Linked DNA regions of Schizosaccharomyces pombe. The gene in region 3 interacts genetically with the main gene of each other region. Each region holds a gene or a part of one and is shown on either strand. Other genes may lie near its edges. The genes, in order: hap2, mgr2, tim13 and coq10.

The links.
Region 1: mutations in tim13 (region 3) and hap2 together harm fitness more than expected from each alone (negative genetic interaction), as found in Schizosaccharomyces pombe (one large-scale study listed by BioGRID).
Region 2: mutations in tim13 (region 3) and mgr2 together harm fitness more than expected from each alone (negative genetic interaction), as found in Schizosaccharomyces pombe (one large-scale study listed by BioGRID).
Region 4: mutations in tim13 (region 3) and coq10 together harm fitness more than expected from each alone (negative genetic interaction), as found in Schizosaccharomyces pombe (one large-scale study listed by BioGRID).

Annotation. Positions count from the first base shown.
Region 1 is NC_003421.2:658,332-665,918, forward strand, and holds hap2 (Ino80 complex subunit), read right to left. Parts: upstream 2,879-7,587; 5' UTR 2,851-2,878; coding exon 2,839-2,850; intron 2,794-2,838; coding exon 2,766-2,793; intron 2,714-2,765; coding exon 2,520-2,713; 3' UTR 2,409-2,519; downstream 1-2,408. Other genes in the region: sif2 (Sad1-interacting factor 2), read left to right, coding at 501-808, 892-1,157, 1,236-1,297, 1,378-1,866, 1,967-1,990; protein asi1, read right to left, coding at 4,011-5,657; peptidyl-prolyl cis-trans isomerase Pin1, read left to right, coding at 6,337-6,737, 6,883-7,009.
Region 2 is NC_003423.3:1,564,927-1,572,503, reverse strand, and holds mgr2 (protein Mgr2), read left to right. Parts: upstream 1-1,584; 5' UTR 1,585-1,651; coding exon 1,652-1,685; exon of another isoform or gene 1,686-1,728; coding exon 1,729-2,057; 3' UTR 2,058-2,300; downstream 2,301-7,577. Other genes in the region: sua1 (sulfate adenylyltransferase), read left to right, coding at 1-1,019; SPOM_SPBC27.05 (uncharacterized protein), read right to left, coding at 2,432-2,758; septation protein Uds1, read right to left, coding at 2,943-6,101; protein meu25, read right to left, coding at 6,734-7,577. UniProt on the Schizosaccharomyces pombe protein: Required for cell viability in cells lacking mitochondrial DNA.
Region 3 is NC_003424.3:4,479,470-4,486,941, reverse strand, and holds tim13 (TIM22 inner membrane protein import complex subunit Tim13), read right to left. Parts: upstream 2,952-7,472; 5' UTR 2,865-2,951; coding exon 2,748-2,864; intron 2,690-2,747; coding exon 2,621-2,689; intron 2,578-2,620; coding exon 2,476-2,577; 3' UTR 2,285-2,475; downstream 1-2,284. Other genes in the region: dolichyl glucosyltransferase Alg8, read left to right, coding at 1-380; endodeoxyribonuclease Pnu1, read left to right, coding at 948-1,229, 1,346-1,592, 1,668-2,107; G-protein-coupled receptor Stm1, read left to right, coding at 4,167-4,982; SPOM_SPAC17C9.11C (zf-C2H2 type zinc finger protein/UBA domain protein), read right to left, coding at 5,012-5,049, 5,208-5,784, 5,930-6,037; scs22 (VAMP/synaptobrevin-associated protein family protein), read left to right, coding at 7,031-7,220, 7,450-7,472. UniProt on the Schizosaccharomyces pombe protein: Mitochondrial intermembrane chaperone that participates in the import and insertion of some multi-pass transmembrane proteins into the mitochondrial inner membrane.
Region 4 is NC_003421.2:876,713-885,771, forward strand, and holds coq10 (ubiquinone-binding protein Coq10), read left to right. Parts: upstream 1-4,453; coding exon 4,454-4,948; 3' UTR 4,949-6,182; downstream 6,183-9,059. Other genes in the region: sorting nexin Snx12, read left to right, coding at 1-928; U4/U6 x U5 tri-snRNP complex subunit Dim1, read right to left, coding at 1,227-1,442, 1,496-1,606, 1,690-1,730, 1,812-1,837, 1,888-1,922; gpi10 (pig-B family GPI synthesis protein), read right to left, coding at 2,935-4,455; sorting nexin Atg20, read left to right, coding at 6,680-6,823, 6,882-6,990, 7,110-8,461. UniProt on the Schizosaccharomyces pombe protein: Required for the function of coenzyme Q in the respiratory chain. May serve as a chaperone or may be involved in the transport of Q6 from its site of synthesis to the catalytic sites of the respiratory complexes.

The DNA.
Region 1 (7,587 bases), on a different chromosome or scaffold from region 3:
GGATTGAAACTTTTCTGACATTTATTACAGCCTTCAGCGCCGTGTACTTCTTCCTCTTTTAGTTCAGCTCATTTGTCTTAATGTAGTTTTGATTTAAAATTTGAACTTCCCGTTTTAGATTTGATCGTTACCTTTTCCCGTTGTTTACTTTTATTTACATTTGTATTAGAACTATTCGTTTGGGTTGGACGAGTTTAGACAAGGGGCCCCTTCTTCTATTTGTATTTACTTTTAACTTATTTATTTACTATTTCTTTGATTTGTCACTTGTATGGTGCGAAATATATACGGAAATGTCAATCACAGAATAGCAAACAAATCGTCAACTTGCGGTTATTGTGCGTAGCATATTTTCAGTAGTTTTCTTTTGACAACGCCCTTATGAGCATATTTTTAAGTTTCCGATTAATCGTTCATTCCTTTACAAGAGAGGTCTCTCACTGTCTACCACCTGAAGTTGAGCTTGTGTCAATTACCAACTCCAGTTTTGCATTCTGAGGATGAGTAATAGAATTGGGCCTCAGAGATCCACAAAAACTGCAGCGAAGCTTCGGCTTCTTCCTTCTACAGAAGAATTTGATGATTTTAGAAGGCAGGATACGGGGCGCGAAGTGTACTCCCAAATTCCTCAAATAGAAGGGTCAACGGCAAAACGAGACGCAGAGCATCTTGGAAAACGGCATCGAGAATTCTTACCAAGAGTAACTGCCTATTGTACATGCGATACATTTAGAGTCGACTTGCTGTTTAAGTTTTTTCAATCTCGAAGAAGTAGTCATAAAACAAGACCTAAACAATTTGACGAATGGTTAGTTAATATTTTTGCATTTTTCTCATTCTATTGATCCTTATTGATATTTACTTGAAGAGGTTTATCTAACATTATAACAGTATTTATAGTCCGTATAGCTACAATAATGAAGAGACGACAGACTTACTTCCTGACACATTGGAGTCCTCCCGTGGAACGTTAAATCGAGAATCTTCTCAAGAAAGTCTACAAAGTATTTTTGAAGAATCCGGGTTGGACAGGAATCAACCCTTGTTTCGGGAAGTGTTTTGCTTTACTTATGGCGTTGTTGTTTTATGGGGATACACAATTGATGAAGAGCATCGTTTCTTAAGAGAACTCGGTCGCTTTGAAATTGAAAAATTAAGTATGCAAATTACTTTGGGTGACAGTCATTATCATATTGTTGTATCTTTAAGCAGTTATTAACATTTGTAATTTTTAGAGATCGAAGATATGGAGGTAGAAGAGTTTAACTACTATATAACGACTCTTTATCAACCAAGGGTATGAACATTTTTATTGATAAAAATTTTTGTCTTTAGCTCTTTTTCCTCATGGTGAAGCTAGTCGACTAACAGATATAGATATTCAACGACTTTATAGCACTTCGGGATGCATCCAACTACATGATTCGTCTTTCAATTTCACATGCTATTGCTCAATCAGTCAAAATATCACTATTTGAAGAGCTGGTCAACGAAACAATAGATGCTACTAAAGATACACCCCAAATGATTGCCGAGACTGGCAGAGTGAATTTGAAAAGAGAGGAAATTATGATGGCCGTAGGCCAGTTGTTTATTTTAAGAATTAACATTAATTTACAAGGAAGCGTTTTGGATAGTCCTGAGCTGATGTGGACGGAGCCGCAGTTAGAACCTATATATACAGCAGCACGGTCTTACTTGGAAATTAACCAAAGAGTTGCTTTACTAAATCAAAGAGTGGAGGTAATTGGAGACCTACTTTCAATGTTGAAAGAACAGATAACACATACACATGATGAATCTCTAGAATGGATTGTGGTAATCCTTATGGGGCTGTTGGTGCTGATAGCCTTATTCAGTATAGTGGTACGTTTGGCCGATGGTTTCAAATTGAATGACTTCCGTTTAGTAATCAACAATTCCAACAAATTTATTTTACTGTTTGCTAACACATTATTCTACATAGGTGGATTGGAAGCTGTTTCAATAACAACCGAAGAATCTTTCCTCTTTTTACATTATGTTTACATAATTGAAGAAATGGGAAAGGGCAAAAAAATTAAACCATATTTATCGAGTTGATTACGCATATGTTTCGGCTTTTTCCTTTAGTTTTTTTTTAGTTTCGGTTAGTTCATGATTTATTGACATTACACGGTAGTCTTCTATAATAATCCTACTTAATAGAAGATAAAGCTCTTTTTTTCTCTTCTTTGAAGATTCCTAGTTGATTTCCCACATAAAAGAACGTTGAAATGGGTTACACAAAAAAGGACAACAACAGCCATAGTACGTAGATATTGTATTGATTTCGGCACAAAGTATGACTTTTCAAAAAATTACATAAGGTTTTTTTTCTTCGGTTGCAGAGTCCAATTTTTACCATCAATCATTACATACTTCATATACTTAGTCAAAAAAAAGCATGTTAACGATTATAGATCAATGGCCGGCAAAGTGATTTTAAAACGAATGAAGACTTAAAAATAAAAACATCAAGCGCCTGCCTAAAACAAGTATTATGTCTCACCAGCTTCCTTTTCTTTATTTAACCCTTTTTTCTCGAGCACTTTAGATAGCAATTGCGCTTCATGGCGATACCGCTGAATGTCTCTTTCAACGTTGTAAATTTTCACAGCATACATTTCGCATTCCTTTTCAATTTCCGAGACTTTTCTTCGAATCCTTGCGGTTTTACGCCGATACACGTCCTCTATACGTCGAGTTCATTAGCAAAAAGTCGTCAGACAAAAATCGGTACACACCTTCAGTTTCTTGAAGCAAATTTACCACCTACGCGGTCAATAAATAATTACAAATAGGTAATAAACCTCCTACCTGTGGATCCATTCCCGAAAGCTTCACGTTCTCAGTTTCTGGTGAAGAATGCAAAGCTAGTTTGCTTAAAATCTGTATTGTATTTAACGAAAAACTGCTTACTTCGTTATAGAAGATTGCCTACTACATTACGCAACCAAGGGTTTATAACGATACGAACCGAAACCGTTATCTAGTTTTCTTACCCATCAGCTGGGTATTGCTAGTGAAAAACAAATGTCTAATATAAAGCTAATCCTTTTTTGGCTGACTTCTCTTATCCATTCATATTACATTTTTGCTTCTTTTGGGTAGAAAAAGAATGGATCATGTCTCACATTTACAATACGAAAGTCAAATTTCAATAAACAAAGGTACATCATACATGTGAACAAATATTTCAAAAACGATTTATGATCATTTCATAACAAAGAATCATGAATTTACTTCGGATAAGTTCAAAAATGATATTGTCAGCCACTGATTCAGAGTAAATCTGTCATTCGTTTTATAAATGCACTGTCATAAACGAATACTTCCAGCAGAACCAGGCTCCGGTTGCACAGAAAATTTCAAGTAATAAAGCAGTGTCTCATTGGCAAAATAATTTTCAGAAGGGAAAAAGCGAAATAAAACAGAAAGAACCTTCTGAAAGAAAATTGAAACCAAATAATGTTCAACAACGAAATAAAAACAAACAGAAATGATAAAAAGATAATAAAAAATACAAGGGTTTCACCTTGCTTCTAGCATTGAATTGAAACAATACAGACATTTATGAGTGGGCTGAAATTAAATAAAGAGGGGCGAGGAGGAAAATTAGAAAAAAGAGAAGGGGTCAAAGAGGTTTTAGACGTATATTTTTTGGTAATATAAACCAGTCTAAGATAGAGGAGTTAATATTTCATGAACAAAAGCACATAGAAATTGTTTAAAAACAACGGCAATAATAAGAACCCGGATACACAATCCAAGTATTAAATTAAAGATCCCTTCAAGTACCCAAGAAATTAAGTTATTAATCAAATAAAATAATAAACAAAGACAAAGAAGCAGAGTTTCACTTAAATAATTGTCAAATAAAAATCGACATGTTTTTTTCGACCAAAAAAAAAGAAAACTTAAAAAGAACGAAAAATAATAATTATGGGGAGATATTAAAGCGGGCATTTGTTTTAAAAGCAAAAACTTTTTTAAAAATTGGATTCAAGCAAATTCTTCCAATATGGCTCTTGCCAAATATCATCATTCCAAATTGACTGTGGAACAAGAGAGTTAAGTTGAATGAGAATGTGAAAATCTTGAATAGCTTGAGCAAGTCGTTCATCCTCCCCATCTTCTTCGTTCGTAGATAGTATATAATCGTTAAAAGACTTGTCGCCTTTTAAATCATCGTTACACTTGATAAAATCGTCATAAACAACTTTCCATGCATCAAAATCTTTAAAAGCTTTAAAGAAAACCTTGTTGCTCAGCATGGAAGGGAGAGCAACGCTAATCCATTTAGCATAATCAATTCCATTCGACCAGCTATGCCTCCACAGATATACAAATATGTCCATAAGACCAGAGGCTTGTGCATATTGGCTGTCATCTTCGGTCAACCACAAACACAAGGTAGCCACAGCACTGATTACAGTTACATGTGATGCTAAATTGTCACGGTTTTTATTGTTATCCCATGCATCACGAAGAAAATCCATCGTATCGCTAAACAACTCAGTAAGCGATCGCTGAAGTTGGAAAAATTTATCAGGCTCAATTCTTTGGGCAAGAACGTCACAATTTTCACATAGATATCGAATGAGGAGTCCAAGAACTTCATAGCATTCACAAACCGTGTACGACACAGTTCCATGCTTTCCTTTCTGACCAACTGCCTTAACTAGCATTCCCAGACTTCCTCGAATCTCAGCAGAGCAGCGACCAATCACCAAAATCATAAACCCATCATTTGGCATAATAGAGGCGGGACCAGCAGCTTTAAGAAGGTTAGAAAGAATAACGGTAGCTGAAGAAAGATTTTTATCGGTGATAAAGCGTTCAACAACCGCATCCATCAAAGGCTGGAGATTAGCACGAATGGCCTCGGAATACCATGATTGAACCGGGAATCGCGAAAACAAATCGCTAAAAAACGAGAAAGTACAGTCCAACTTCCATCCGCGTCGTTTGTCGATACCTTGGAAAATGGGACGCATATACGTCTGTACGTTGTCGAGGGCGTATAGTGCGTTTGAAAGGATTTCAAATGCTTGTTCAAATGGAAATTCGTTGATAATAAATGATGTATAGTAAAGGAGATACTTAGCTGATTTTGGGTTGGAAGACAAAGTACATATAACCGGGATACAAAGATCATAATGTTTCAAACAACACTGTAGTAAAGTAGAAACCCTTTTTTTCACTTCATAACTTCGTAAAATGGCTTCTTCACTGCAGAAAGCGAGAAGGATGGAGACGCCCAAATCTACGTACTCGTAATGAGTGGAAAGGAGCAAGCGGTCCAAAAACTTCATATCCATCCTTTCCCAGCATTTGAAGATGAGATTGGGATGATCATTGAGTAATTTTGCAAGCATGGTCAATGACACAAATTTACTTGTATCGTCCTGGGCATGCAGCAAAGAAAAACAGTTTTCCAACAACTCCATAGAACCTCTCGACTCGCCGGAAGCATTTGAATCCTCGTCCTTATCAGTAACAAAATGAACCTCCGTTACATGGTCCTCACTCAGCTTTTCAGACGCATACGAGTCATCTTCGGAGAGAAGCTGCTCATACGATATAGTGCGCACGCCTTTGGGACCCTTGTGAAGATGAAAGTGTGGAATATGCATTAAGGTGAATTGAATTGTACCTCAATAACCTATTATTTATGAAAAAAAAACTTAAAACCGAGCTCTTCTCACTGCAGTCTACGACACTAAGTAAACTTTGACAAACGAAAAGAGGAATGCACCAAAAGTCTAACAATTTTCAAATCCAACAAATTTTCGTTCAACAATCCGAAATCTCCAAACTTCTCACCTTTTTCCTCAAATTCCACTCAAATCTGCCAGAAAAAAAATGTTTCTACTTCAAATTACACCAATTTTTCTTGATTAATTAAATAAATATCGAATTTGTAGTCCTCTACGACTTTTTACTCTTTCAAGCTAGGTGTTCCGCTTATGCTGAGGCAAAAAGGCATGCCTTGAGTTTTGTCTCCAATTGACGAATAAGGTATGCCCTATCTTCTGGTACTTTGGAAAGTGCCCCCACTTGGGATAAAAAGGTAGAATGCCCCCATTTCCTTTCCTATCGAAGGCCTTAGTGGTGGTTGACATAGCAACATAGCAAATGTGCTTTATTTACATAATAGATGGCAAACGACTCTAGCTACTACGTGACTCTAAACAAAGCAAATAAACAAGCTTCAAATTGCAGAGATTGAACGTGTTTTGCTTGTAATTTATAGTTGAGGATTTTTTCTGTCTTAGTGAATCCATTTTTTGAAGAAGCGTTGTGGTAAAAAAAATGTCTAATACTGGGTTACCCAAACCATGGATTGTCAAGATTTCACGCTCCAGAAATCGTCCCTACTTCTTTAATACTGAGACGCATGAGTCTTTATGGGAGCCTCCGGCTGCCACTGATATGGCTGCCCTGAAAAAGTTCATTGCAAACGAGTTGCAGGAGTCAGTTACACCCACCGAGGCAAGCAATTCACCCAAGATTCGTGCTAGCCATTTACTCGTAAAGCATCGAGAAAGCCGTCGTCCCAGCTCATGGAAGGAGGAGCACATTACTAGGAGCAAGGAGGAGGCGAGGAAGCTGGCTGAACACTATGAACAATTGCTAAAGAGTGGCTCTGTAAGCATGCATGATTTAGCCATGAAAGAGTCGGATTGTAGCTCCGCTCGTCGCGGAGGTGAATTGTATGTATTTTGATATACTGTAATTAAATACGAGTCGCAAGACCGACAGTATATGGTGGTGCCACACTTGGTGATAAGCTCTTGTTGGTTTGCCAAGTGTAGTCTGATTTTCAACTGGAACGATTTTTACTAACACTATGTGTAGAGGCGAATTTGGAAGAGACGAAATGCAAAAACCGTTTGAAGACGCTGCGTTTGCCTTGAAACCCGGTGAAATTAGTGGAGTGGTTGAAACGAGCAGTGGGTTTCACATCATTCAAAGACACGCTTAATTCATTTGCAAAACAATTACCTAATAATATTAATGAGTATGCTTTATTTCTTATTTTCACTTACTCCCTTTCCGTATGCTTGAAAAAGCAAACAAAATGTTTGTCTTGTTTTGTCACAAATTTATCTCTTCTGATGATTTTTTACATTTTGTTGACCATTTTCCCAAAGGAGAATATTCACAATTGTCGCTTTGTATGTCCCTTATTTCTGACGTTCACCCGTTTATAATACATTTTAACTTAGTATTTAAGTGTTTGCCCATTCATGAACACGAGCCAGCTTACTACCTAGGTTGAAAACAAAATGATTTGATTTCGCTTTGCTATTGATTGAAAAAGCTTTGATGAAAAATGATAAAGTAACTGATTGATGTTTCGAGATTTCTGTTCACTTTAAAAATTTTCACAGATTTTCTACTTTACATGAATGTTAACTTTATTAGAAAAAGTAATTACAAATTTATCTTTTGCATATTTCATTTGAGGTTTTATGGTTGTAGTCATTTTTTTATGCTATATTTATTTATTTGTTTATTTTTCTTTATACCTACACAAGTCTTTTTTCGTTTTTTTTCTCT
Region 2 (7,577 bases), on a different chromosome or scaffold from region 3:
TTGGTGGTAAACTTCAAGCCGTTACTCCTATTCGCCATTTCGATTTCGTAGAGTACCGCTACTCACCTGCTCAACTTCGCTCTGACTTCCAGCGTAACAACTGGAATCGCGTCGTTGCTTTCCAAACCCGTAATCCCATGCATCGCGCCCATCGTGAGCTTACCGTCCGTGCTGCTAAGCAACACGGTGCCCGTGTGCTCATTCACCCTGTCGTCGGTATGACCAAGCCTGGTGATATCGATCACTTCACCCGTGTGCGTGTTTACGAGGCTATTCTCCAACGCTATCCTAAGGGTTCCGCCAAGCTCTCTCTTCTTCCCTTAGCCATGCGTATGGCTGGTCCTCGTGAAGCTTTATGGCACGCCATCATTCGTAAGAACTACGGTGCTTCTCATTTCATCATTGGTCGTGATCATGCTGGTCCTGGTAAGAACAGTCAAGGCGAGGATTTTTATGGTCCTTACGATGCTCAGTACCTTGTTGAACAATACGCTCAGGAAATCGGTATCACCATTGTTCCTTTCCAAATGATGACTTACCTTCCTGATGAGGACATCTACAAGCCAGTTGACAAAGTCGAACCCGGTACCCGTACTTTGAACATCAGTGGTACTGAACTTCGTCGCCGTCTTCGCGTCGGTGCCAACATCCCTGAGTGGTTCTCTTATCCAGAGGTTGTCGCTATTTTACGTCAATCCTATCCTCCCAAATACTCTCAAGGATTTGTTTTGGCTGTTCCTGCCACCTCCGATAAACTTCTCCCCAGCGCTCTAGTTTCAGCCTTGAACGAGGATGGTCGCCGCCATGTCACTCTTTTACCTCGCTTAGATGCTATTTCAGTGTTTTACGCCCAAGAATTGCAACGTGCTGGTGCTGCCGTTGTTGTTTCTCTGGCTGATGCTGATGCATCTGTTAAAGTACCTGCTGAGTGGACTACCGTAAACATCAAGCCCAAAGACTCTGTTTCTGAGGTTACTTTTGCTGTCCTTTCACAATTGTCTGACGAAGGCTATCTTTAAAATAATGTTTTTTGACATATATATATATATATATATATACATATATCCATTTTTGTTCTTTTATGTTCTACTTGTCTATTAAATAATAAAATAATTGCTGCAGGAATGACAACACTCCCTCATTAGAACTTTGCCATTTGTAGATGTAACTAAGAATGCAACTCAATTAAATTTCGCTAAGGACATGTTAGTAATTAATTAGCGATAGGCTTCTTAATAACAAAAGGTAGGAAATTCAATCCGAAGCCGAGGGGAATTAATTTATTATATATGTCAGATATACATAGCAGACTTTAGCAATTGCAATACATGCCAATGCAATGTTTTATTTTAATTCAGAAGTCATTATAACGTTAAGCCTATGCTCTCACTTAACGCATGCCTGGATGTAATACATTGTTACATTTACTTAAAAAAACTGGGCTTATAAAAAATATATATATAGGTTTTCTTTAAATTAACATTTCCTAAACTAAACTATTGATTTAACAAAAGAAATTGTTACATCTATTGTTATACCTAGGTATCCAATATAATAACTGTATACTACCTTACTTTTCCTACCAACAAAATCCCCCTTGAAACTAGTGCTCTCTATTTCTAAATAAAAGTAAGACCTTTAACTACTCAAAATGCAATCTATGCAACCTTCAACTGTGGATAAGCGTAAGTTCTATATTGTATGAATTCAGTCATTAACACTGAACAGTAAAAATGGGCGCCATTATGGGTTCAGCTGCTGGACTTGGCATCGGGTTTTTATTTGGAGGAGTAGCAGTTTTGCGCTATGGGCCTGGTCCACGTGGATTCTTAAGGACCTTAGGTCAATACATGTTAACATCTGCGGCCACTTTTGGCTTTTTCATGTCCATCGGCTCTGTAATTCGCAACGAAGATATACCACTAATACAGCAGTCAGGCTCACATTGGAATCAAAGATTATTAAATGAAAATGCAAATTCCAGTCGTATTTTTGCCTTGGCTATGCAACAGGCCAAAAGTTCTCCACGTAAATCAAATGAAGTTGCTGAGTGCTAATTTCGTTTAATCCGATTATAATAAAAGTATCATACTATCATTTTGTTAGTATATGAGGTACAATATTTGTTTCTCCTGAATTCTGAGTTAAAGATGTACTGATGATTGTACTATCATGCATTTAAACTAAAAAGCTTTGGCCGCTACATCAAAGGACTTTTGCATTTTTCTGATAGTTCATGTTTAAAAAAGTCTTTATACCATATTGTTAATATTTTGATGGCGATTTAATTTTCCTTAAAATTTTTACGATTTAAAGATTTGGGTAATTTGCTAGGTGGTAAATTGGTAAATTAGTTTGTTTCGATGAATAATATTTGTAGCAATAGTTACAAAAAATGATCGAAGACAAGCTATTACAAATAAGCTAATTATTATTTGATCATAAAGATATTTAGAAACAATACTTGTGCCTTAAAACTTGCAATATCAATAATGCTTGTCATAAGGAAGATTCGGTTACATATGGGTTGAAGATACATATGCTCATTAGTATTATTAAATGTATTATATATGCTTGATGTTATCACTTCTTTAGATGCTAATTGTAATGTAAATGCGTCTGTTGTCTCTTTTTGTACACGCATTATTAGTTGGTATCTTATATAAAACTTCGATTCAATCTCCAACTGGTAAAGCAAAATGCAATTAATGCCAGAATAAAATAAATATGCAAGTCCATAAACCGTTGTATGCACCATTCATAAGCAGAATTTACTGCGTTCATAAAGTTGCGAAAGCATAGTCTTCAAAATCTTTCGTTTGCTTCTTAGCCAAAATTCAAAAAAAAACTTGAAAGCACCTGCAAAAAGGTCCAAGAAGGAAAAAAGTTTATAATCGGAACATCTTCCTTATACAGCTGCAAATTTAGAAGATCGTATTTGGTTATGCTGCAGAAGTAGATACTCTCCTCATACTACTTTCAAAACTGTGTAAAGTCCTTAAAGAGCCGAATTTTTCCTTTTTCGGCAAAAACGCTTCACAGTCGTTTCTCATTGAATCCATGCTTATCCTAGACTTATTCCCCAGACTTACTGAATCGGTTGAAACATTGTCATCAAAATGCAAGGAATCGTCTTCTGTATGAATAACTTGTACGATTTCGCTTGAATTCTCAGTAGTGATATTATCATTTTCAGTACTGTTCATACATGAACATTGTTCAGGGTCCTGGACTTCAATATCGTTGGCCGGAATCTCAATTGTTTCCTCTAAAGTAGTTAAATTTTCATCCTCTTTTACTTCCTTGATGTCTTCCAGCTCATCCTTCTCGATATCATCTTGACGAGTTTCTTCAACTTCATCTTGTAAGATGGAGTTTTCTGCTTGCACTTCATCATCTACAGCGTTCGTCTCGGTCATAGAGATGTCCTGAGATATATCGATGTTTTCTTCAGCTTCATCGATTAGCTCAGTAACCTTGTCAGGCTTCTCAACGAACCCAATTGCAGTCTGATTAATACCTTCGCATGCATTGACCATATCAAGGGAGGAATTTTTGTCGTTCATTTGTCCTTCATATACTTTGTTTTCACAGTCATCAGTTGTAGTAGATTGTTCCACCACGACAGATTCTAGAACATCATTCTGGTTGTTGTTTGCTTCATCAACGGCTTCTTTTCCAAGATCATTTTCTTCACTGCCTTTGTCAATATTATCAGAATGCTCTACCTCAACAGGTATGGTTAAAGTATTTTCAATCTCGTCATTCACATCAGTAGACTGGGTCATTTCAACTGTACTGAGGATGCCGCCAATAAGAGATTTGTCATCTTTCTCAGACGGCTGATAATCCTTTTCAGCTTCTTCTACATTGCTGTTTTCATTGATCGGTTGTTCTAACTTCACGGGTTCTGAGGTTATGACTTCTTCATCAGTTGTATCAGGGACAACGACGTCAGCACCCGTTTGAACAGGAAGGCTACAGTCAACTGGAAAGTTTTCTGAATTTATAGTTAATTCAGCTTGCGCTGGTTTCTCGCTACCGTCAAGTAGGACATCACTGCTCAAGCTCTCCTTCCTCAAACGCGGTTCATTATCAGGGGTGCTAAGACTATTCCCTTGTTCATTTTTGTTAGTTTCAGACCCATCTGTAGAAGTCGAATTTTCAAATTCTTCGTTAATGTTTTGCTTAGGTGCTGGTTGAGTCTCGGAGATGGTTTTCCTGTCATCATCGGAGGAATAGGAAGGACTAGAAATTTCAGAAATTTCATCCTCTAACTGCAAATTTTGTTGAGTGTATGGTCCCATTAATGGCATACCAAAATCAAATGAATTCTCCAAATTGAGGCTTGCAAATATATTCTCCATTTGCAATTGCTTTAGCGTAAGGTTGCTTACAGTAGCAGAGTTCTTCTCCTGAACTTCTTTTTCCATTTCCAAAGTTGTAACGCGAGATTGTAATAACTCATTTTCTCTTGTCAAAGCCTCTAATCTGTTCTGCAATGCATTGTTCTGCTTTATTGCATAATCGGAATCGGGATCATCAGGCTGGGAATTCATAGCCTTTACAACTTCAAGCTCAGCACGTAAGGCAACCATCTCGTCGTTCAAATTTCTAACCTGGTCTTTCGCATAATGATGTGCCTTTATTTGTTGCTCAAATTGCAGTTTGACATGAGAAATCTGAGACAACAGATCCTTTTCTATAAGCTTGGCAGCTTTTTTCTCATTTTCCAATTGCTGGATATTAGACTCCAATTGCAACAAGGACTGCTGTTGCTGATACTTTTCAGAAAGATATACTGAACACTGGGCACAAAGTGTATTCGCCTTATCTTTACTCAGGTTGGAGGTATCCGAATGGTCATCTGCTAGAGATGAATCATACGTACAAGGCATTGTTTCTTTAGGTTTATCGTTATTTTCAGCGGCCTCAGAAAACCCTTCCCTATGAAGGCGAGCCATATGTTTACTCTGCTCTTCAATGATATCTTGAAGCTCCTTAAGCTTTTTCGTATTTTCATCTCGGACACTTGCTAGAAGTTCATTGCTTGAAGCAAGCTCTTTCTTTTGTGTTTGGTATAATGACAATAGATGGTGCAGAAGAAAGCAAAATGATTCAATGTCAAAATCAGATTTCAAATGTTTATCGAGTTCATCATCAGGAAGTGCATTACTCTTCTCTGGCGTATCATTGTCGCCGCGAAACAGCTCAGTAAGTAACCGCCAAAAGTTCACAATAGCGCGAGGAGCAATATCTTTCGCATCAGCATCTTCCTCCAACTTTTTCTCGTATATTTGTTTCAAAATAAGCTCTAAGTGACGAACTTGCTCGAGTAGCCGTTCACCAGCGTTCATTTGTACTGCATCTAGGACAGATGGTTCACGAATTGAATTACCCATTGATTGAGCAATTTCCAGTATACGGCTCATACGCTCTACAAGCTGCTCAATTTCCTCATTGTTCATTATTTCTTCATCTCGAAATCCAGTTGCGCTCTCATCAGCGGTGATGGCAGAAACCGGTGAAGATACCTTGCTACAGCTACCTGGTTTAAGCTCAGCAATGCACACAGCAACCATATGCTTCAATAGGTGCATATAAAATTCTGCAAGTTTCCTTTCAATAAGCCATATCTTAGAAGAAAGTTCTCTAACTCTACGAGAACATTGTTCGTAATGCTCTATCGTACTTTGTTTATGTTTTCCTTTTTTCTCCTTAGCTTGGGCAACCATCAAATTCTTAGCAGCTTCTCTAATTTTGGCTTCGACAGCCAGTTTTTTTATAGAAACACCAAGTAATCCCTGCAGGTTTTTTATTTTCTGTTTTATTTCTTCAACGTCTTTTCCGGAAAGGTACACCCAACCTTTTGCATCTTTAACAGCAGACGCAACTAAAAGGGTTCGCATTTCCTCCTCACCTGTAGATATAGACACATCTTCAGAACTGCTAGCCTTTCCTACATACACGAAAGTGGATAAAAATGGATTGACTGGTCGTGTATTAATTAATATGCTTGAAGAAGGTGGTTCAGGATTCCCATATTTCTCAATTAACTCAGGTTCATATTCATCTGTACTTAAACATCCATGAAACCCCATTTTTGGGTAAAATGGGTAAATGTAAATGTTGAATCTTTTGTTTGTTTACAGCCGCATACGCTTTATTTTGTATGAATTTCGTTTCCATGACAACTAACATTGAAATGTAAATAAACAAAGCACCTAAGCCAACCTATTATCACGTTGCAATGATCGGTCGCTAAGCATTTCATTCTCCAGATTATACGACTATTAAAGTCCCTTTGCAATTTTAGGTTTGTGTATCGGTGGGCTCTGCTGTTTGTTATTTATCGACGTTGAACCGGTATTTTGATCAACATTCATTATGGTGTTTGCAAATAATCCACATTACTTTTTATATGTTAAAAGATTATTTAGAGCATACTTTAACGGTCCTACACTTACATTTATTACCCTATGTGACGAATTCGACCTACACATTTTTACTTAGACCACCTCAAAAAAAGTGATAATATTTTCAAGTATTAATAAGTCAATATTTAGTATATTCGTAAAAACTTTTGTCAAGTTCGTATAGGTTTGTAAATAATGAATGTGCAGATGAAACAAAATTTCGCTTAAAAGGTACACTACCATCCTAGAAGAGATTCCTAGGAACCTCAACACTGAATGGTCGATAACATGTGATAGAAAATTATGTGACAGTACGTTTAAACTTGGTAAAGTAAAGCCTCGTTATCATCAAATGCGACTTTGTTCAAAAACCCTTTTCGTTGTACAGTGCCCAATTCTGGAATGTGCTCAACAGACTTTGCATAATCTAATAAACTATACTGTTTATCGAGATGAACCAAATGTGGAAATAAATAGCCTACAATTTCTAGGTGATGCATGATAAAAAGCCAGTTTTGAGCTGTACGACTAGGTGCTGTGTTTAACAACTTAATAGTGTTTAGGTCATAAGTTGTTAATTCACGATCCACAGACAAAAACGTTTCAGCAGTTGAAGTTTGAACGCAAACAAGGTCAGGGAAACGTTGTACGCAGTGGAAACTAGATATTGGCATAACCAGCAACTTCGGATGACCGATTTTTGAAAAAATAACTTGCTTCTTCCAAAGGGCAAGGTTGGGGTCTAACTCTAAACTAGCAGAAAACTCCGCTAAGTACTTCCAGAGTAGATCTTGTTGTTGATGAGGAAATGAATCGAAATGATCTAGTTCACAAAGGAATTTGCATGGGTTGCTGAGAAGCTCGTTTGTATAATTAGTTTTTTCCTCTTCAGACCAAAAGAAATCAGCTTCCCTTGTCTTTGCTAAGGAGCTTAGCATGATATACCGCTGCTTATGTGCTTCTTTGGGTAAGATCAATGAAATAAGTTTTGTGCTGAAGTAGGATAATTCCCTAATGCTAATGGAATTTTGTTCTTCCTTTTCATTTTCATTTTCAGGATCGTTCAGTTGAATGAAAGATTGCCCAGTATGTTCACTGTCGAAACATAGTAGCAATCGGAGTAAACGTTCTTCTCTACAGCAACGAAAATCCCAACGTGAC
Region 3 (7,472 bases):
TGTCTTTAATTGACCGTCGGTACTTGGAAGCATTTCGTCCATTAGCGGTTTCTGGTTACCTATCATTACTTCCCTTATTATTTACTCTTAATGAAGCCCCTATAAAATATTTGTTTACAGGTGCTTGGATTGCTATGTTATTAACTTTTGACAAATGTGCGCCTGTTCCAGTTAAAAGAGTTTTCTTACTCAATAGAGTAAACATTGCTTACATTTCAGGATTTGTACCTCTTTTCATTTATAACTGTTTTATTCACAAGTTGGTTATGGGTGACAAATTTGAGTTCTTACCTTTAATGCTTTTAAGTACTTATGCTGCATGGGGTATTTTCTGGTCTTTCGTTAGTCTTCTCTGGCTTTATTTCACCGATTTGAAATGAGATAATGATATTATGATGTGCCATAAAAAAACAAAGGTTCCAACTCGAATAAGAAAAGCGATTCTGTTTTTAAGCTTGATTTAGCACAGATGAAATGGAAATACAAGGTCATTTTCATGTTGTGTTGGTTCCATAAACAAAATGTTTTGTCAGTAGATGAAATCTTAGATCTCTGTAGATGTTTTTCTTAAATTAATAGTCCCTGTCAAAAAGTCGTTTTTTTTTTAACATACTGTTGTTTCCTAAAATTGGAATTATATATTTTTAAAATTAATAGATTTACTAACACTTTTTCTTGATAATAAGCGTGAATTTGGAATTATACATTCTAAACATCCACAAATGAATCACTTAATTGACTTTTATATTTAATGTTGTATTATTAATCGTAAAGAGTTAAATTTTTCTTACTTCAGAAACCTCGTAAAATTAATGTTTAACAATATATTTTTAATATTCTTCTTGGCCATAACGATAACTCCCAATTATTTAAAAACTCACACGCAGTGAATATTCCAATCTTCTCTTTACCTACACTCCCACTTCTTTTAATTCCCAATCGACGATATGTCTAGTAATCTTATCAAATCTTTTGGATTAATAGCAATTGGAGCGATCTCGGGTGTAACTTTCACGCATTTTTATTATAAAGGATATCAAGGATCCGATGTACCAGACTTGACACCCAGGTATACCAAATTTGACTCTGCTGGTCGAGCCTTAGAATCTATATATGATTTTAATGCCACCAAATTTTTTCAATACGGCATACCAGGACCAGTGGCAGACCAAAGGGTAAACCATGGCTATATGTCTGTGTTCGATCGGAGAACACGAAATCCATTCTATGTAAGCAAAAACACCGTTTCCTAAGCTTTCTTTACCTAGGAATTATAGATCACGGCAATAGATTAAATGTTTAAATTTCTGGTCTCTCGGAGTGCATTATATTAATAATAAACTAGACAGCGGAAACCATTACACAAGAATCGTTGAACCAACGCAAAGGCAATCGCAGGTACTCTGAGTTCGTTCCAGATGATAATATTCCTGAAATGTTTCAAGCAAAGTTAGGAGATTACAGAGGAAGCGGTTATGATCGTGGTCATCAAGTACCTGCAGCAGATTGTAAATTTAGTCAGGAAGCAATGAACGAAACTTTCTATCTTTCTAATATGTGTCCACAAGTGGGAGATGGTTTCAATAGAAACTGTAAGCAAAAACTTAACGAGACTTTTTCTTTTAATACATTAATAAATTTGACTAGTTACTAACTATAACAATTAGATTGGGCATACTTTGAAGATTGGTGTCGACGCCTTACAAGTAAATACGGCTCAGTTACCATAATGACGGGACCGCTGTATTTACCTAAAAAAAATGAACGTGGACAATGGGAAGTTCAGTATCGAGTAATTGGCAATCCTCCCAACGTCGCAGTTCCTACTCATTTTTTTAAAGTAATCATTGCAGAAAAATCAGGAGAGCCTACCTCAAGTCCATCAGTAGCTGCATTCGTTCTTCCCAACAAACCTATTGCTGACAACTTTCCGTTAAAGAACTTTGCAGTTCCCGTTGAGGTTGTGGAACGAGCAAGCGGATTAGAGATCTTATCAAACGTACCCAAGGGTAACCGAAAACAACTTTGCAGTGAAGTGGTGTGTCAGTTAAATGTTAAGGAGTTTGTTGAATCAGTTAAACAAAAACAAAAGAATCAAGGTAAATGATAAGAATAAGGAAATTTAATGAATCTCTAGTTTTTCTAGTTTTTCCGGTGATCGTTCTTTATTATGAAAATATTTAAACTGTTATTTACACAATAATACTTAAATGCTACATGTCAAAGAAACAATTATAAGTATTTTACCCAGTAGTATAACAACACTTGTAAGTGTTTAGCATGATTAGGAAAAGAACATGAAACGAATTTTAATTGCTGAAAGTTTATAATTATTAGAGAGAAAGCGCGTGAGCTACGTTGAAAAGAAAAATTTCTACGTTGCATATTAAGCTTTGCCGTCACTTCACAACTATACAACAAGACACATATCATAGGAGAGTAAAACAAAATGATAGAAAAAAAAATCATTATTATTCAGTTGAGATTTTTCTGCTCTCGTTGCATACGAGAGATATAGGTTCGAGAAACAATGTTCCAAGCATCCATATAGCGTTCCATACATTTGGAAACGCAAGACTTTTGTCTAGTTAGAATAAAAGTATTTTAATAGTTCTCATACCTTTTCATTGGGATCGAATGTGGAACCAGGCTCCGGGATACATTTATCAAAACAGTTCTCATTGATTTTCTAGATAAACCGATTAGTTAAAACATTCAATAAAACATAAAAAATGAATGGAGCATACACTTATCAATTCGCCAGCTTGAGCAACAGCAAGTTCCTGACGAATTTGTTTCATGAAAATGGATTTTTTGTCTTCAGAAGAAGGTGCATTTCCACTATTTCCACCGAAAATGCCCATTTTGTTTAAGTATAACGTTAAAACTTATGAATGTGGATAATTTTTACTCCTTTACAAGGAAAATTAATGAGGAAATGGTACGTTCGTGGAAAGTACCAAACGGTGTACTTAGGGAGACTAATTCAGAAACCGGCCATCATCACCAATTAGACTTCGTTAATAGAAAATGGATTTTCTAATATGCTGACATATGCGATACAACCAGACAGCAATCTTTGTTTTGTTTTCTACTTGGTATAAAAAAAAAAGATTTAATAAAATATTTCTAAACTAATGGATAGATATACTATTCGGGTCCTTTTGGTGAGTTTAGAAATAAAAGTTTTTTCAGCGTTTTTTTATTATTATTATTTTTAATATTTTAATATACGAAATGAATCGTTCATGACTTTTCATTACCCTTGTTTAGAAAAAAAAATAAAAATCCCAATTTGTAAGAAATTTTTATAGAGTTTTATAGTCTCGAAATTAAATCATGGAATTAGCACATCTTTTACTGCAAATAATCTGAGAATCAAACAAGTCACGTAAACATTTCAATGTTTAATACTGCTAGCGATATTATGGTGTATTAAATTTTATAACAAAAACGAGTTAGCTTGACATTGATAAAATTAATGCGACTGTTATTTACATTGAGAATTATATTGTTAAGTGAAATAGGATTATTCGAAGGAAAATCTATTTCGCTTACTATTCCTTTATATTTCTTTAGAATGATACCTTTGGATTGACTATCAATTGTATCTGTAAATCCACGGACACTTTCTTAATTCTGCGAAACTGCATGGGCGGCAAATTTTTCTTATCTTGAAATCTCTATATAGCCTTGCCCGAGGTAAATAAATAACAGGACGGCTGGGAGGTTGATCTTATCCAGAGCCAAACTCACCACCAAATCTCTTCTGTTTCTTTACAGTGGGAGAAATATTGTTTACCATTGTTATTATTATTATTATAGATATTCCTTTTAGTGTTTATTTTTTAAAACAAAAAAAAATACTTGTAACGAATTTTCATTAAGTATCATCTCTTGGATCGCTAAAATAAATCAGCGAATATTATAGTGCTGAAGCATTACACGTTCGAGGAAGTTGACAAATTTTAATAATTGCTTATCATTCCTATTAAATTAATAGTTTGATTTCCCTTTCAGGTTGCTTCGCTTTTGTAGCCCTTTGTTTCCCGTTCTTTTTATTTATTGTCCTCCACACTCATATAAAAAACTTTGACCATAAAAAGCTTAGACAAGCTCTTCTCAAATTCATTTTAAAATTATCTGTTCGCAAGCATTTTTGTCCCATGTCTGTGATAGCTCCTTCTTTTGATATGGCTAACATACTCACGGAGTTGTCTTCATTTTTAGGAGCATTATCCCTGGGATGTTGGGTCGTTTTACTGATCCCTCAATTACTTGAAAATTATAAAAACCAGTCTGGTGAAAGTATCTCTGATTTATTTTTAATCATCTGGCTTATTGGCGATTTCTTCAATGTACTTGGTTCCATTTACGGAAATGTCTCTTCTACTGTATTGGTTCTCTCATTTTATTACATTGTCTCTGACAGTACCCTACTTATGCAAATTTACTACTATCGTTGGAAAGCTGCCCGTCGTATTGCCAGTCGTGAACACGAACCCTTACTCCAAAGTCGTTCATTAGAAGAAGGTCTTCATGCACCCATTGGTAAACAACAAATTTGGTGGGATCGCCTTTCTACCCGTCAACAATTTGGTGTAATGGGATGTGTGGTTATTGTCTCGACAATCGTTGGAAACTTAATTATTTCTAGTGCCTCTTCTGACAAGAGTGATGATGACTTGAATGCATGGCCGTTTACTGCCGGTTGTATCAGTTCTGTGTTATACTTCTGTGCTCGTATTCCTCAAATCATCAAGAATCACAAAGCAAAGTCTACCGAAGGATTATCCATTATCTTTTTTGTGTTGGCCTCTGTAGGAAACACTTCATACGCTTTCAGCATTCTCGTATTTCCCGCCTCCGATTACTTAAACTACACATATGCTAACCTGCCTTGGATACTTGGCGCGTTCAGCACCATCTTCCTTGATATATATATCTTCTACCAGTTTATCAAGTATCGTAATCATTATTAACACAGCATAATTATCAAAAGGTCATAACTTTACCATTGCGGAATAAGAACGGCTGAGGGAAACAAATCTATGCAAGCGTTAATAATATATTCCATGTCTATAGTTCAAAGTTTTCAGAGGAAACAAAGATATGTCGTTTAGATGCTAGTAGCAACACAATATTCTTTCAAAAACATGTATTCTAATGTCACACATGATGACAGTAAACACTAGTTTGATACTTACCAAGTTGGTTAACCGGTTTATCAAATACATCAGTGCCGTATGAGGCACGGGGAAAGGTAGTGGTAAACTTAGTTGGCGGTGACACGTTCATTTTCTCAGCGACCTGTTGTGCCAATTGGCGTAGCGTCTCCTCAGCTGCAATAGTTATATTACAAACTTGACCATCGTGTCGGATAGAAAATCTGCCTGATGTAGGAGGGGTGCGAGTACAAGTAGAAGACGAATTGGCATTTTTAGGCTGCTTGATGGGAGCAGCCGTTTCTTTTACAGAAGAATTCTTATTTTCCCGTTCTGCAGCTCGTCGTTTTTTATCGCGTTCAATTTCTGCGAGGATTTTCTTACGCTGCTCAGCATCTTCAGCCTTTTGTTGACGGATCTTTTGCAAGTCACGTAAGCGGGCTTGATCCTGCATCTTTCTCATAGCCTGTGCAGTTTCATCATTGGATTTTTGAAGGATTTTATAATTTGTCTTCTTCTCTTCCAGAGCCAAAATCCTTTCTTTTTCCTTTTTCTCCTTTGCTTTCTCTCTTAAAGCTTCAATAGCTTGTTTTAACTCTTCGGGAGAACGCTTCTTAATCTATGTTTTATAATCGTTGTTAATAAAAAGAAAGGATCGAGTGAAACAAATTATTGTTTTCGTGAATTATAATAATAAGGATGGTTAACAATTCGAACGCTTCAACCATTCAGCAAAAAGTAAAAGGAGTAAAATCTATACATACCTCTTCTTCAGTTTCCTCAAATTGATCATGACTGGTTTTGGTACTATGAAATTCAGCCATTTCGATGGAGGAAAGCAATTTATCGCATTCCAAACATTTCAAAACCATTTTTGTGTAGAGTTTGTAGTTGCAAAAGGCAAATTACAATGACGCTCAAAAATAGCCCTACGTTCCATCGACTCAACATCTAACGTGCTAATATCTACAATATCGTATTACCAAACATCGCAGTTGAGAGCATTATAAATTTGTTGGTCATTGAAATAGAAATGACAGGTCAAATGAAACAAAATAATTGTAGTTACCACCGATTACGCTATGAATTAGAAGAATAAATGATTGTATATATTGCACGACATCCGCAGACCGATGATTGAAAATGATTACTGACTTTCGTGATCCTGTAGTTGGCATCCACTCGAGTAATTCGTTTCCTTTATACATGGTATGCTTTCTAAAGCATCGCTGATATTCCTTGAAATAAAAATGTTGATTTTTCCCTAGCATAATGACCATTAACGAAAGTATACAATATCTATTTAATGATTGTCTAAACCAAAAAACGTATTTCCTTTGAATAGAAAGTGTAAACGAATGCGCAATTTTTTTTTGAAATCATAATGTTTACTTCATCCTTGCATTCTTAAGTTGTAATTAAGACAATTCAAACGCATTAACATGACATTTAGAAATTAAAAAGGATAACTTGAATCATCCTTTTTGGGTATTTATATCATTTATTAATTTCACAAACAATAAATCCATATACTTATTGGGATTTTATAACCATACTGCATTCGTACATTATTCACCTACTGCAAAATATTTTTTAGCATATATTACTTTTTACTTTCAAAATATCACATTTATTTTAATAATATCGTTATAAGGCTTTGTATAATATCGATGAAAACAGTTACTTGAATAATTATCTCCTTTTATTTCAGTATCCATATATTACCATAATCTTTGCTCAGCCTCGGAAAATCACACACAAGTATGTGTGACGTAAAGCCACGATTTTTGGCTACACTGCGAAATGGTACTTCGCAGAGTAAAGTAGTACCACCTCTCGCAACAAACTCGCCTTTCCCGTAAATCATGGCTCTTGAATGTGATAGTACAATTGTGTTTCCTCGACCACTTACACGACTAGTAAAATGTGATTTAGAACTTCGCAATACTGCACCTTATCCGATCGGATTCAAAGTGAAAACTACTGCTCCTAAACAGTACTGTGTGAGACCCAACGGTGGTCGAATTGAAGCCAATTCGGCTGTAAGTGTTGAAGGTAAGATAATTTATATTTAATTTTGAACCTCATTTGCATTTTTTGATTTTATTCGTTTAAGCGGTTCCCATCATTGATGTTGTCGGGTGGAACAAAAACGTTGTCATCAACGTGATTTTCTTTTGCAAACTAACAGTTTTTATTGTTTTTGTGCGTGCACTGGAAGATAATTTGTGCTCATTAGTTATTGCTGTAAATTTTCATTTACTAACTTCTTTTTTTTTAATAGTTATCCTACAGCCTCTAGATCAC
Region 4 (9,059 bases), on a different chromosome or scaffold from region 3:
TATTGATTCATTTAAAATTAGCAAAGAGGAGAACACCCCAGACTTTGCTGTTTACACCATACGCATTGAACGACTTGAAAATGGACATGTCCGTTCCGGATGGATGGTGGCTAGACGGTATCGAGAGTTTGCAGAGTTGCATAAGCAGCTAAAGCAAACATACCCTGGAGTCAGATCTTTAAAATTTCCTCAAAAATCGATCATCACCTCTTTAAACAAAAATGTTTTGGAATATCGAAGGGGTGCTTTAGAAGAATATCTTCAATCATTATTCAGAATGCCAGAGGTTTGTGACAGCAAAATGTTGAGGATGTTTTTGTCACAACAAAATATCACAGCACCACAAATGTTTAATCCTAAAGAAGTTGGCAAAAAATGGAAGCAGCTTTTAGAAGTCTTAGGGTTTGAAGTTAATAATTCTTTCAACGCATCCAACGTTAACACTAACTCGTCATTCTCAGGTCCCATCTCGGAATTTTTAGTCGAATTGTTTTCTCCAAATGACGATGCAAAGCAGCAATGGTTACCGAAAAAAACTTATATATCGATATTGGAACAACTTTTTGGCGGAGCTTTGGAAAAGCGTATACGACTACAACTGTTTCAGTTGTTTACGCCTGAGAAGATTTATAGGAAGTTACGCGAGTTTAGACGAGGACTTGAAGGTAAATCTAATCATGATCACTCCAAAGACCGCCGTCATTCACGGGCGCGAAAGCCAGCTTATGCTGATAGGAATCAATTGAAAGCAGAAGCAGGGATTTTGCTTGCTTCCATGTTTCCCGGCTATACACCTGATATTGCTGTGAAAAGAATATTTCGTATTCTCCAAAACCAATCTCTAAACGCTCATGTTATATACACCCTTCTTGACGAGATTTTGCTGGCTTTAAAGAAACACGCTAGATCAACTAATAAGGCAACTTGAGTGTCACTTTTTTACCTCTCTTGTTAAATCATAGCAAGAGTAATCATGTTCATGCTTTTCTTTAATCATATAATGTAATTTCTTCATAGGATTTGATAATACTTTATTACAATTCATCCACTAGATAATTTCAAATCCTGTATTGTTACTGACTTTAAAAGAAGGGTTATACCATTTGAAGTACAAATTATGCGTAAAAATTAAAGCAAAAAGACTTTTTCATTTTAGCCAAAAACTATCAAATTACTATGATTTTTCTATCCCCTCTCCATTTTCTTGCATAAGCAAATGGTGGCTTCTAGTAGCGATGTCGGGTAGAGTAATCTTTTGGAGAAATAACAAGACCTTTACCTTTTCTAGCACCACGAAAAATAGTTTCTATAATATCGATCATCTCTTGTTTATCTTCTAACGGCCAGTTGATTTTGTTATTGTTACCAGTACCTAAGTCAATCATCATGTGTTTGTTTCGATAAAAAAACATTATTGTAGTTCTGTCATAAAGCTCGTACATCTAGATGGTAATAAGGTTAGCAACATGACTTTCCAACTAAGACTTAGACTTACCTTGTTGAAGTCAGGAACTTCGTCAATGTCCACTAAATATATGACAGCCATGTTGACGACCTTTTCAGCAATTCTGTATAGGACTTCATCTTGTTTTATACATTCTTCATCCTATTCCGTTACGCGTTAGTAAATTAATCCGCCTACAATATTAAATAGACTTAATCCAAGTAGATATCGACATTAGAACATACATGATCTCTACCAAATCGAATGACAACCAAGCGCTCTTGTTCTATTTATAAAAAAAAAGGTTAATAAGCTGATTCGAAGTTGTGAAACGAGAAACATTCTACGTTTCTTAAAGTTCGCGTACCTGATAAAATTGCTTGATCAACGTGCCTATAAACATAAGTTAGAGAAGAATAAATCCATCTATCACAAAAACTTACCATCCAGAATGTAAATGAGGTAAAAAATAACTCATTATATCAACTGAAGCTGCTGAATTGCAATATTTTGGTAATTTCTAGCAGACGAGAATAGTGTAGATATGTAAGTCACACAATATACACTTTGCGCGTTAGGATGTAGCAATGCTTTAACTCTACGTAAAAAAGCGTATAATAGTGTAAATGCTATTCAGTAAATAAATTTAGTGAAGTTATGAGATTCTTGACACAAGTGGGATTGCTATTACTTTCGTACATTACATGCTTAGTTGAATCGTTGATGTGTTTACTACAATTATATATATTCATACTTCATCTAATAAAACAATGAAATTCAGAATTTTTTACAATTCTAGAAACCGACCGTTTAAGCAGTTTACTGTGTTTAAAAATTAAAGTATCCGTAATATTCCAAATATTTTGTGAAATACTATTATAAAAAATTTAATTTAGAATCGTAGCTAGGCCGTATAAAATTATTTTTTCAAGTCCCAATCGCAACATAGACGAATGACCTTTGCGTTTTTCTCGACTCCATAGCATAAAATTACAATTGCAAATTCTTTAAGTGACTTGGGTGTTCGCGTTGTAAGCTAACTTTTCTTTTTCAGATTTGTTTGGAGAGTGCAGGATATGCTATAAATTTGTATTTAAGAAAATTTCTGAAAGGTTAAAGTCGCCAAAGGTTGAAAATTTTAAAATGATGTTGATTCATGATAATGGCTTCGGGGAAGATAAGTGTTCCACCCATGTCTTAAGTTTTAATAGTAAATGGCTTAGGATTACTTTATTCGTCTACAAATTGTTGCTTCCTCTTGCTCTGTGAAGACTTGATATGGCCCCCTCTATAATCCACGAACCATAATAGAAATGCAAATCGTTTATAATGGGGAGCTAGAAATCAAGCTGGCGTTTTAGGGATAAACCAAATATTGTCCAAAGCAAGTAATAGTCATCAGTGGTTTCATTTAAAATACATCAATAGTTGTTAAAATGCAGATAATTATGCTGACCTGTGAAATTTTTGGGGTATGAAGAATCATGTAATTAGAGTTTCTTATACACTAACAGAGCTCCAGCTCTCTCTCGACTTTCAGGAATCAAGGAGTTATAATACCTCTGTACTTCTTCATACTTCAACCCTCGGGAGTCAAGATAGCTGTATAAGCTATAAAACCGCTCTTCAAAGAAAATCAGATAATCCGGCCATTCTTTAATTTTATCTAGAAAAGTAGGCATATTCTCGTAAAAACGATCCGTCTCATCAAAGGGCTTTTCGAACGGTTCACATGTCAAGAACTTCCATCCATTTTCAGCAAAAGGTGAATGGATATGCGACTGCCATGGTGTAGTGTGACACGGAGCAAGTATTAGACCAGTTTGGTTTTTTTCAGCAAGTGAATGTATTAATGGCATAACTTCCATGACTCCAAATTGATGAAATCGGCATAAAAATGTAATTACCAGAGCATGTCCCAATCCAATAAGGAAGAAAAACCGTGCTGCACGCTTCCAAGAGGAAAATGATGAAAAAAATTTTCCAGCTAAAGTAAGTAAAATCGGTGAAATTGGGTATACAAACCGAAGTTCTTTATGTCCTATCAGTGAATAGGGAAAGAAAACACAAAGAATGGTTCCCGCTGTTTGAAGGTCCATTGTGAGTAATACGAATGGAAGAAATCCTCCGCATATTAATGGGAGGGCTTGAGAAAGGTAATAGTGCCATGCGTTCAATCCATACAAAGAGGAAAGGCCTGAAGTAACATTAAATTGAAAGAACGAAATGATGGGAAAGACAAAACGACCGTAAAGTATTCTATCAGCAATAATATTAACTAAAAATAAAGACACACACAAAACGAATATGCCAAAAAGCCGCCCATAACCGAGAGCATATAAAAAACGAAAGCGATTAAAAACATTGGAAAACGAGAGTAAATCCTTTATGGGTGTTTGAGGATTTTTGTTCCAGAATAAAAGTGGGAATATCCAGACTAGTATATTTGTAGGTCGGATGAAACAAGCAAAGGCTGCGACTGAAATGAAGCCCAAAAGTGAAGAGTACGCTTTCTTACGTTGCTCAGGAGAAGAGTTTTCATATTTTAGGTAGTAAGAGAAATAGTAAAATCCTATGGAAGTCAATGTTGTCTCCAATGAATTGGAAAAGGTTCGGACACCAACGTACGCATTCATTATGGAGACAAGAGAGCAAGCCAACGTCCAATTCGCGGTTTTAGAACCATATCTTACTAGTGCAAATTTATAAGTTCCATAATCTAGTATAGCAGCAAACGTTCCTTGCAGGAGTTTTGGAGCGTTCGTGAAAACGAAGTAAGATGAGTCTAACTTGAGTACTTGCAAAACACGATATAGCGCTGCAAATATAAGCGGATGTAGAGCTGAACGGATTGCTGAGGTCCATTCCCACGTTAAGAATCCATAGCGGAATATGAAGTGATGGGCCACCTCTAACGATTGGTAAAATTCATCAGGTTGAAAGAACGTTTTTACCCACAACGCATTCCACCATCGGAAAACAAGAATCGCTAACCAAAACCAAATTCTCATGGCTTTTCGATGTACGTTACGACGGTTGGAATGCTACCGCGCTTCTAGACTTATGCCTTACAAGCCTTCGTTCTTGTTCAGTTTAATAAGCAATGTCAACGAATACGAACGGTTTGTGCCTTTCTGTCAAAAGTCCAAAGTCACTGAATACGATCCTAAAACTGGATATCCTACAAAGGCCGACCTTACAGTTGGTTTTAAAGGATTGTGTGAAACTTTTGATAGTAAGGTGGTTTGTGATCCTGTTGCCCTAACCGTGTTGGCAGACGCGTCCCATCATCGTCTGTTCCGGCGGCTTAAAACACATTGGAGTATTGAAGAGGCATCTCGGGGACGTGTTCGTGTTGATTTAGAGGTGGATTTTGAATTTGCAAGCAAACTCCATGGCATGATGAGCAAGTTTGTTGGATCTTCTGTAGCTTCTGAAATCATTCAAGGATTCGTCCAACAGGCTAAAATAAAGCATAAGCTAGAATCAGAAAATGAGAAATAATTACAATGATCCTGCATACAAAGGGGCTATGCCGCTATTCTTTCCATCTCAGCGTTTTTCCATCGTCTCTCTTTCAACCAAAGAAGGATATATTTTTATAAAAGGTTTCTTTTAGGAAATCATGGCTTCAGTAAGCTAAATTTTGGATCCTTCTCTTCACCTTATGTATTTATTTTATTTCATTTTTTTGGATACTCGCCAATATCATGGTATAGTTTGCTTTACTGCAATTTTTTTGATGCACAACAAAAAACTTGGTAAATTATTTCTCTACTATTAAATCAAGAGCTTAGGAGGAATTCTCATTTCTTAAAGAAACTTTACTTTGACGAAACTGTATTTTTTTTTTTGTTTTAACAATATGTCTTGAATATGCCTTCCTTTTCTTGAGTCACTGATAACCAAATATATATAATTATAGGGGTGTCTCTCTTTCTATTTAGTGCTGAAATATTGCGGATGAGCTTTGCCTCTAAAGTTGATAACCAGAGATCAGGAGTCCTTGAAGGTCAACTGTTTACAAAATTATCCTTCCTTGCTTTTGAATAGAAGGTGAAATTGGTTATGGAATGCTTCATGAAGATTTGCATTCAAAATGCATCCAGAACAATCACAAGTGTTATTTAAAAGTAAAGAATCCCTGAAGGAAAGAAAAAGTGATCTATGATGATCGTTGTTAAAAAGTCTATCAAATTTGGTCTACTGAGATATATCTAGGGAAAGCAAAATCATTTAAGTAAGACAATTCATGAAATACCCGGAGCACCTTTATAGTCGACTTTTCTTTCGATGATAAACATGACATGATTTCCATTATAGCTACAGAAACGAATTTTATGAAAAACAATCTTGTGTTTACCAACATTTTAATATCGTGCTCTATTAAACTGTGCAATATGCAAATACGGTGTTTGCCGATTTGCATTAACGGGAAGTATTTCTCCAGTAAATAAATGAAGCAAAGTGTTTTTATGTAAAATCCTTTTATCGCTTTTAACTTATAAGGATTTACTTAGTATATAAAGTTGCTGAATGGAGCCTTAAAAGTTCTAGCTGTTTTTTCGTGAAATAAACTATAGCATCACCATTCCATAGGTCCATTAGAAGTTGTGGAAATTATCCATGAGCATTTTTATATAGTGAAATTAGAATAATTTTTATCATTGAAAATAAATTATTAATTTAGTTCATTTCGAGGATGAAAACAAGTTTTATTATAATATACCTCTTATTTATACCGCATTGTTTACATCGCACGATATAACCAAACGAATCCAGTTAACGATAGCTACAACAGCCATCGGTATTAAACTATAGTGATTTGATAAGATGTTTCGAAATATATACTGGATAATATAATCACTGTCCGCTATCATAACCTTAAAAAGAAATCTCCTCTACAACTGCATTACTTGTTTACTGTGATAGTACTAAGAAATTCTCCACGTAAACCAAAATCTATTTTTTTTTCGAAATCTCGTATTTTATATACATAGGTTTCCCCTGTCATTTTAAAGTTCTGATTGTTTCTTTGACCTTATGGAAACCCATTTTACAATGCATTCAGTATAACGCTATCTAATCCATTCTCATATACAGTATAACGTAGTTATAAGTATATTGATTTGCGATCTCTATCATATTACAACGAAATACAATCCAGTCTGCAAAGCCATGACTTATATGACGAACTAGCTACATTTCTTTCTCCATTAAATCGATTAAAGAAGTATGGCACAAGACGATTCTTACGAAGAGAAACCTGAAGTTATATCCAGCGACTCGGGAGGAAGTGGTTATTCAACTGAAATCCAGATCGTCGGTACAGTAACTTCCTCGGACGGTTCGTATGTTGAGTATGAAATTGTACACCAGGTATGTGGCTTGAGATCCTTGGTATCTATGAGTTTAGCTGCTAATTTTTATACTGTAGAAGCGTTCCGTTTGGCGGAGATATTCGGATTTTGAGTCCTTGGTTAAGTTGATGCGTCGGCAGTATCCCGCTGCAATTGTTCCTCCTATACCGGGAAAACAATCACTTTGTAAGTTTTCCAATATATTTAGATATAATATCTTTCATCGCGTTTTTTCATTTTCTTTTCAAACGTTTATTAACATGGGCTGTGTGCAATTCATTGTACACACATGCTCCGCTGTTTAGTAAGTTATGCCAAACATCCACGAAAAGCTAAAAGTGATGCTGAATTCTTAAATTTTCGCTCCAGGATGCTAGAATTGTTTCTTCGTCAGTGTCTTTTGCATCCATGCATTCGTTCCAATCCTATTTTCGATAAGTTTATTCATAGCACTGTTTCTTGGCACGTGACTTTATCATCTTTAGATTTACCAAAGGATTCAAATACTGATCCACTCCGCCTTCCTCCTATTGCTACTGAGCATGACCCATTCGCTCATTTGCGCTCTTCCATGCCACTTGTAATGGCCAACTCATTAAGTCCCCCTTCGTCTCGCGCATTAAAGCCAATCCATTCCTTATCTAATCCTTCAACTGCTTCGAGTTTAGAACCTTCTTCTCCTTTGGGCTCTGAGGATGAATGTCATCCCCCAACAAGCGATATGCAACCTACGCATGAATTGAATGAAAGTCCTTCTACCCCAACGGCACCAGACTTTCCACATTACAATAGCTCACCTTCGGAGTTATCTCCCACACAGCGTCGTTCCAGCATTTCTAATGGTAAAGACGCACCCTCTCCAGTACTCAAAGATTTGACTTCCTATACTCAAGAAGTGATTGTTTGTCGGAAATTCCTTCATCATAGTCTGAGTCCTTCCATACATTCAACTTTATCTAGTATTTCTAAAATGGAGTCTTGCCTTTCAAAGTTAGGATCGGCATTTCACTCTTTGACTGCTCTCAATGAAATACAATTAGCAAATCATTTGCAAGTGATTGCTAATGCCTTTGAATTCAGCGGAATGTACGCCAAGGAATTCGAACAAGAATTTAATTCCTCCGTCTATGAAAAAATGGTTCAGTCTATGCAGCTGGCGAAGTGTGCCGCAGATGCTCTTAAGTATAAGCAATTGAAGATACAACAGCGAGATTTTCTTCAAGACCAGCTCATCCACTCTAACACAATGTCTGCTACCGACTCTATGGTAGCTGCTTCACCCACGATACACCCGGCGACCAGATTGAATACTATTCAACGAGCAGTTGTCTCCCAAGCCAAAAAGGGTTACACAATTTTTGGTCGCTTACAAAACGTTTTACATGACTTTGTAGAAGGTGAAACCTCCATTAGCAAAGAAAGTCTCCAGCAGCATAAGAATACCATAGAGAATCAACTAGCGGCTGCAAATTGGGATTGTCAAAAAATTGACGAATTCATGGATGCAGAGCTTAAATTCTACAAAGAATGTCAGACGTCGCAGTGGGAAGAAATAATTAAATCTGTTCATGAATGTATCTACAAATGGGCACAAACAAATTTACAACGATGGTTGCGAACTCGTGAAGAACTCGAAAATTTATCGAAGGACATATAAGTACGTTGGGTAGGTTTGCTTATAATTGCATTCCGAGTCTTACATACTTTGTATTTTATTTTAATTTCTGCATACATCCTTTTTTATGTTTCTTTTTTACGATTTTGTTAATGACTAATAATACCACATGACAAGCCTTAACTATGAAAGTCATATTTCCCTTGGAAGATCTATCGCTTGGATAAATTTTTAAGGTCGAGTACATTTTATTAATGAAAAATTTATTTAATGCTATTATAGATTTAGAAATATTAATAATACTAAAGCATACAATGAAAGCTGTTCTTCTTTGTGAATATTCATTGTTCCTCCTCTTACCTTTTTATCAATATGTACCGACAAATCGTTTAAATCCTTTCATTTTTCTCTCTACCCTTTTTCTCTTTTTTTGTTAGTTAAAGTGTGCTCGAATAGAGCCATTTTACGAATTACTTGAATAAACAATTACTTAACAAGAACTTTAACCTTCTTTCCATATTGATCACGTACAAAAATACAATGTAATAAAAAGCTGTGGGATAAAAATGATACAAAAAAGTGATATTTATGTCAAAATATGAATGTACTGTTCAAATAAAAGGATTCCAACAAAACAAAA